2 linked regions of the Cricetulus griseus genome follow. The protein of the gene in region 1 interacts with the protein of each later gene in a pairwise test. Links are inferred from orthologs where the notes say so. Each region holds a gene or a part of one and is shown on either strand. Other genes may lie near its edges. The genes, in order: Fhl2 and Csn2.

Region 1 (3,824 bases):
AGAATGATTGCTACAGAGTGTGACTCTGATACCACCTACATATGCATACATAGACACACACACACACTCAAAACCTGGGTTCCCTGTCATTAGCCTCCTAGCCTCGCTGCCACTCAAATCATGGGGCATAAGTTATGCATCAAATGTAGAGTGATTCTACATTTGCATTCCAAGAGGAGAGTTTGTGAGGGAGAAAAGTTAGTGATGGGAAGTATGGTACTACCAGAAGGCTTTCTTAAAACAAAGTGTGGTGGAATTTTGATGAATACTGCCCCAGCCCAACCTGCACTCCCCCCCATCGGGACCTACTGCAGGCAGTGGTCACTGGCCCTCTCAGTAAAGTGCTATTTAAAGGGAGACCCCAGCATTTAATCATTATTTCACACACCGTGCTTGGCCAAAGGTTTTATTCTGAATAACTTTATTCTAAGTCACATAAATGTTACTCTGGGTTTTTACACAAAAAGGAAGTTACAAAGCTGCAAACCCCATCCCTCCCTTGAAAACACATTCATAACAAATGTTAATTGCACTTAAAATTAAATAGGCAGTGAAAGGGATGCATTATAGAGACACAGGGGAGGATGCCTTTGTTTGATCTGCCTTGCATTTCTACAAAATCCCAAGTCATCTCCCCATCCAAGGTTAACAGGACTGAAGCAGTGCAGAGAACTAAAAGATTTCAATTAACGTGAAGCTGGGACAGCAAGAGGAAACCTCGTGGTGGCTGGTGGGAACCAGAACACAGCACTGCCTGGTTAAGAAAGAAAATATCCAAATCTCTACGTCACAAAGTTGTGGCTTCCGAGCTGCCTTCAGATGTCCTTCCCACAGTCGGGGCAGAGGATGTCATCTCTCTCTGTGAGGAAGCCTCGCCCCACCAGGGACAGGGAGCACTTCTTACAGTTAAAGCAGTCGTTGTGCCACTGACGTTCCTCGAAAGAGATGTACTTCGTGCCCCCGAGACCTGTGAACAAAAGGAAAACACAGGATGAGGTGTCTCCAGGTGACCAACCTCAGCAGAGCCCGAAAAGACATGACAGTTTGATCCGCTTCAACTTGGTGCCCACTGTGAAGCACATGTGGCCATCAGACGAGAGACGGAGAGCAGGGAATTCACATGCAATCATCAACTCTGCACAGCTCAGGGTCATCCGAAGAACGGGCACAGAAACTGGTTCCAGCAAGGGAGCGATAACACCCTATAAAAAAGTGCCTGTTTGAGCTAGGTGTGTCGCTCAGTGGAAGAGCGCTTGCACACGGAGCGTGGGGTCCTGGCTTCCAACCCCCACGGGAAGAAAAGTGTCTGCGGTTTCCTGTTTCCTTGTGAAATGAAACCTGCTCCCCACGAGGAAAGGGAGCTGGGTGCCATAGCAAAGGGAGTAGATGGAGGGAGGGAGACAAAGGGAGGTGTGATCACCCTGGGAATGTCGAGGAAAGGACCAGCCTGCAGAGGGGTGATCCTGGGACCAGCCCTAGAAGCAGGAGCTGAGGTGAGAGATGGGGCTTGGTGAGTCGGGGTACAGTACAATGAAAGAAGAATGGGTCACAGGTTGGAGCTGACCCTGAAAGTGTCAAGGACTGAACAAAACCGCAGTTTTATCTTTTTCACAGTGCTGAAGGCAGGCCCCCAGCCAGGCATGCTATGGAAGCATTTGAGCACTGAGCTACACAGCCCTGTTCCAGTATTGGTAAACAAGCAAACTAACTAGTTTCACCTCTGTCCTTCTGATGACTCATGTCTGACTAGTCCCCATGAGATGTTTAAGGTACACAGTATACTGATTGCAACAACAAGTGGTCTATTTGGCCACTGGCCACCCTGAAACAAAGAAGGATGCAATACACAGAATTATGCCACACTGGCCATGTGTTCTGGTGAAATTTAGATGATGAATTTCAGTCCTCAAGATTCTGGTGTAAGCCAGGTGGTGGTGGCACACGCCTTTAAATACTAGCACTCGGGAGGCAGAGACAGGTGGATCTTTGTGAGATTGAGGCCAGCCTGGTCTACAGAGCGAGTTCTAGGACCGTCTCCAAAGCCACAGGGAAACCCTGTCCCAAAAAAACAAAAAAACAAAAAGAGTCGGGTGTGATAAACCATACTATAACAACTATAACCATAGCCACACTCACACCAATTCCCAGACTTATATGAACTCTGACTCACCAGTTAATTCCTATTATACCCTTTCCACACTGGGAAACTATCAAGTTTTTCCTCTTTGGCAAGCCATGGCAAGGCTAGGTCTTAGCTCTGGTCTCTAATGAAGTAAGTGCCTGTGTCCTTCCAAAGACCACTTCTGCTCCTGACAGAGGGATGCACAAGCAAAGCTCATCAGCCCTCTTTCCCTAAACAACTTGTAGCATTAAAACAAAACAAACAAAACAAAACCAAGCAAATTCCTGGAGCTGAGGCTCTAACTCAGTGGCACAGTGCTTGTTTACTTAGCATGTATGATGCCCTGGGTTCGATCTACAGAACCACAAAGGGGAACAAAACAAGCAAAACTGAGTATCTAGTTTCCATATAAATTGCCTTTTGTATTCCTAAAACCAGAGCCTGGTCCCTGGCCCTGGGAAGAACCCAATCTGGGCTTTGGTCTTGACACTATAATTTTTCTGCCTGCCTTAGTCACTTAGGAAGTTCTGGAAAGTTCCCAGGGCTGCAGAAGGGAGATGATGGTTTCTCTTCTTAGCATATGGATCTGAGTGAGCTGCAAAGGCAAGATGGTTTTTATTTTTATTTTTGAGGTTTTTATTTTAATTTTCATATGCATGTCTGCCCGAACATATATTTGTGTACCATGTTTGTGCAAATGGCCAGAAGAGGGTGTCAGACACCCCCCCCCCCCGAACTGGAATTGCAGACTGTTGTGCACCACCATGTGGGTGCTGGGACTTGAACACAAGTCCTCTGGAAGAGCATCCAGTGCTCTTAACCACTCATTTACGCTCCAGCCTCCTTCCAAGAAGCTTTTAGGACCCCTGCCATGCCATACTCCTTTACACCCTTGAGTTCTACAGCAGAGAGCTGCAGCAAAGATGAGCACTGGTGGGGTGGGCAGGGGGCATCTGTGTGAGGAAAGATGTGAGAACACCATGGAGGACAGGAGTCCCAGGTTGAGCACATCCCCTGAGGCTCTATTTTAGCCCTGAAGTGCCAGCATATGGAACAAGATGTAGAAATGGGAACTGAGCAGAACACAGGGAAAACTCCTAAAGGCGGTGTGTGTTTGTGTGTCTGTGTGTGTCTGTGTGTGCATATTATGAATATATATTATGTAATCAATCCTGATTTTTTCATGGTGGTTATACCCCATAATGCCCTTAACAAGACTGAATTAACAAATACTAAACTACCGCTTCTAAGAAAGACACAGTAGGTTTCTAAACTCCTCTGTGAAATTTCAATGGACCGACTCAAAGATGTTCCTCTCTGTGTGCCTCCCTTTCGAATAGAAGACACTTTGACATAATTTATAATCATTGACATTAGCACTGTGGTCCACTTAAAATGCTTGAATGGACCTTTAAGGTATTTCCTCTGATAAGGCACGTCATCTTTTTACATTTGGGGGCACTACATGGAAATGCTCCACCCCCCAGTCACAAAAATGTAGGAAAAAAAAAAAACAACACATGTCATTGTTATTGGATGTATCTTCAAAACTACACATGTTTAAGAAGGGAGCTGGTGCTGGGCATTGGTGGCGCACGCCTTTTATCCCAGCACTCAGGAGGCAGAGGCAGGCGGATCTCTGTGAGTTCGAGACCAGCCTGGTCTACAAGAGCAAGTGCCAGGATAGCCTCCAAAGCTACAC
Region 2 (3,924 bases), about 150 Mb from region 1:
CCGTAAAACTTGTCCAGAGTCTTGGAATTCTTGATCTAGCTCATAATGTTTTACATGTGAGATATTAACAATTGTAAAAATAGAGACAAAGTCTTCTGTTTGTAAAATAATTGTAGGAAGATTAGATATTACTTTGAAACCATGATTATGGAAATAAGATGAGTTGAAAGAAAAGTGGCTTATAGTGTGCCAGGTAAAAACAAAGTTCCAGTTTAAAGATGGATACATAAAATGGTAAGGATAAAATATAAGAATTGCAGTGGGATTCTCCCTACATGCATAATCTACAAGGGTACAAATTTCTTTTAAACTAAGACAATTAAATTATATGGAAACCCATGGAGGAGTCTTTAGACAAGGAAAGGTTCTTAATGAATTATGCAGCATCCATCCAAAAAACCCAAACCAGCTTTTTACTAATGGAATAATTTTCCACCGTCAAGTATTGGAAAGAATGCTTTGTAAACATATCTAAATTTTTATTTTTCATGCTGAGATCACTCACCAGCAACACAACAGTTTATGCACAGTCTATTATTTCACTCTAGAAGTGAGGCTCCCTAGTGCTGATGTCTTCATAATCTGGAAATGCTGAATAGTTTTTTCATTAAAAGGGTTCCATAGTCATGACTTCTTCATAGTTTTGTAAGGCGCCCATACTCCCATTAACAATAGAGTGCTAACAAAGAAGAAAGGAAGAGAGCTGTGAGCAGAAAATACTGCTGGTAGCTGCTGAAGTCTGAATTTGATGTTAGACATAGGATATTTAGGAGCCAGAGTAGATTTTAATTGACTCATCCCTTACAACTCGTTCATCTTTTCATTCACAGGACCTGACAGCCATGAAGGTCTTCATACTTTCCTGCCTTGTGGCACTTGCTCTTGCTAGTGAGGTGGGTAAAGAAGCTTCCTATGTAATTAAGATGTAGTGAACGGTCCTCTCACTTGTAGACAGTAACAGTAGTGATGGCTCAGTGTGTAATTAATGGAGAGCTTCAGATCTGTTTATTTAATCAATGCTTCTTTGAGAGTCACAAAGTTTTGTTGTCCCAAAGTTCCTATAGGCTCTCAAAACTGGAACAAATGCTTATTGTGTTATTGGACCACCAGTTCCAAATGAAAAGTAAAACAGACAAGAAGTAAAACAAGAAAATAGAAATACATCAAGTAAATATAACTCCACAGAAGTAGACTCACACACGTGGCTTCAGTATCTCATTCTGGTGATAAAGTGCATGCATTTCTTTGATAATCAGGTCAAGTCTTACTGTGTCTGCCCAAAGGGAAATTCAGAGGAAGGAACATATTCAAGAATTGTGGTAGACTTGTAGGCATAATAAAAAAATGCCTAGTAGAAATTAAAGTAACTTCTTTTTTCCTCACTCATCAAAAATTCCCCAAGTTCATCCAATGTAGGAATGTGCCAATAAAAATTATTAAATTATTAGAGAGAGTAAATGTGTTTTCAAGATTCTAAAAGGCTTATAACTTTTTTGGTTTTTAAGTTTCTGAAAGAGGTAGATGACATAAAAATGAAATAGGAAGGATATTTAGTAGCAAGGTAGATTTTGTCACTAATAAGTACTTTTATTTCTTTTTACAAAAGGAATCACTCAGCATATCCTCTGAGGTAAGAGGTTTTATTGAGAAAAAATTTTAATCCTAAAATAACTATATTTTTAATGATCTGGAAGTCCTAATTGGATCTATAAATTAACACATTTGTATTACTAATGTTTTTGCATACTGAGAGCATTTCCAGCAGTGAGGGAAAGCAATTCTGTCTCAGAGGCAACTTGTAGACTTAGAACACCAAAGTGCTTCTTTTCTGTTGAGTTACATTGTGTTAGCCACACTATAACATATTCCTGTTTGGTAAATATGCTGTGCATTGTATTGGGAAGAAAAATATCTAGATAGCTGCATAATTAGAATTTTCCAAGTTAGTTTCTTATTTGAAATTTTTAACTGCCTCTTCTACACCTTTTTATTTGAGAAGCTCACAATCGTATTCTCTGCCAAGAGCTCTCCCTAATTTGACATGCATTTTTATTATTACTATGTGCTTTTTATGGATTGCTCATTGGCTAGTAGCTACAGTCCAAACTAAAGACAGATACCAATAGAAATACATACATGTGCTATACTGGGTAGGCCTGTTTGCAAAAGGATGCATTTGGTTATTAAAGTTGTCATTAGGTAAATAAAAAAGTAAGATGCAATATAGTCCTAAATGTACCTGAGTGTATCAAATAGATACACTCAGTCTTTACCTTGAACTATTTATTTGTATGTGTTATCATTTGTTTATTAGTGAATACAATTATATACATTTCTTTTCAGAATTCTACAAATGCTCAGAGGAAGTGTTTGTTTCTCATAGTTTATTTGGAGGCTAGTATATTAGCAAGTACTATAATAAGTACTCTTAGCTGTCATTAGACTGTATTTTCAACTCTGTTTCTGTGTTTGGTTTTAAGAATTAAATGGGATTTAAAGATCATTTGTAGCCAGAGAAAGAACTATGGTTGTAAAGGGAATTAACATTGCTTAGATGTCTCTTTATATACTGTGCTCACTCATTCACTTTTCTCTCTTGATGACACTCATCTTTCTTGTATACAATAGGCTTATACAAAATGTTTTAGATAGTTTAAATATAAGATTTCATCAATTTTCCTATTAGTAACCTATTAAAATAGCTTACCAGATACCTTAATTTTAATACCCATTGAAAATACTATTTACTCAGTAAAAATTAATTATTTTTTTTATTTTTCTGAAGGAATCTTCTGAAAGCATCAGTAAGGTAAACCCATTATATTTAATATCCATGATTTATTCATGAAGATAAAAGTTTTGAGATTTTTAATGTACACTTTGTTTCTAACAGAAACTTCAGATGGTTGGACAAATGGAACAGCTGCAAGCAAGGGTAAATTGCTCTTGAAGAGTTTATGTCTTGGTTTTGTGATGTGTAATGAATGCCAGAAAATAATTATAGCATGTATGTTCATAGCAAACAGTGGTCATATACCACCAGTGCTATGAAAGCATACTCAAGTGTCAATGTATTTTCTAAATCATGATTGCAGTTACTAGTGGTATTATCTGTTCTTAATAATTAACATAAGCATTTCCCCAGTAGAAACAATGTCCTTTTTATTTTCTAAATGAATATGATGATGAAAGGACACATTGAGAATGTGGCAGAAATCCTATACTGAACACCTGCCAGAAGAATAATATTGCTTATTAGTCTCTTTATAGTTCATTTTCTTCACCTGTAAGCTGAACACAATCTTAATTTTTTTCCATGAATGCAATTAATTGGCCTTTAGTAGAGTTAATGGTTTTAATTCACATTTGGTTTATGAAAACATTTGTACTTTATGTTTACCTAGTCTTAAGGGCATTTCTAGTTCAAAGATAAGTGGAGTGAGATATGGAACAACTGATTGGACCACTGCTTAAGCTGTATAGTAGAAGAGGTTGCCTTCAAATCAATGCTTTTCTGAATAGTGTCAAGTTCCACTATTAAATCACACTTACATAATAGTTGAACTTTGATAGTTTGTTTTCCTCAGTAAATTGCTTGTTGCTCACATTTTTCAAGTCAAATTAAAATTTTAAAAATTGATACATCTTGAAAAGTTTAAGAAAACTATTTTTTCAAAGAGAAACCTTTCTATAAGTTGACCAATATTAAGTGGCTGGCAGAATTTAGCACAGATTAAGGCTGATTTTTCCTTAAAACCAAATAAAATAAATTTTAGTATTGTCCCAGTAAACATTTTAAAATTAATTTGCCTTCAACTATACATGAACAATGAGTTCTATTATCAATCTACAAAAGTTGAGAAATCAATGCGTTTTCATACCTAAGAATACATAACTACAGATGTAGAGGTAGCTTGGGAAAAA

What was found.
Region 2: the proteins of Fhl2 (region 1) and Csn2 interact in binary tests that used the Homo sapiens proteins (3 or more experiments, as listed by UniProt). The two-hybrid records come from large-scale screens. The link is inferred for Cricetulus griseus from reciprocal best matches to the Homo sapiens genes FHL2 and CSN2.

What each region holds. Positions count from the first base shown.
Region 1 is NW_023276807.1:5,374,527-5,378,350, reverse strand, and holds the end of Fhl2 (four and a half LIM domains protein 2), read right to left. Parts: intron 968-3,824; coding exon 816-967; 3' UTR 391-815; downstream 1-390. UniProt on the Homo sapiens protein: May function as a molecular transmitter linking various signaling pathways to transcriptional regulation. Negatively regulates the transcriptional repressor E4F1 and may function in cell growth.
Region 2 is NW_023276807.1:152,936,928-152,940,851, reverse strand, and holds the start of Csn2 (beta-casein), read left to right. Parts: upstream 1-842; coding exon 843-914; intron 915-1,606; coding exon 1,607-1,630; intron 1,631-2,785; coding exon 2,786-2,809; intron 2,810-2,893; coding exon 2,894-2,935; intron 2,936-3,924. UniProt on the Homo sapiens protein: Important role in determination of the surface properties of the casein micelles.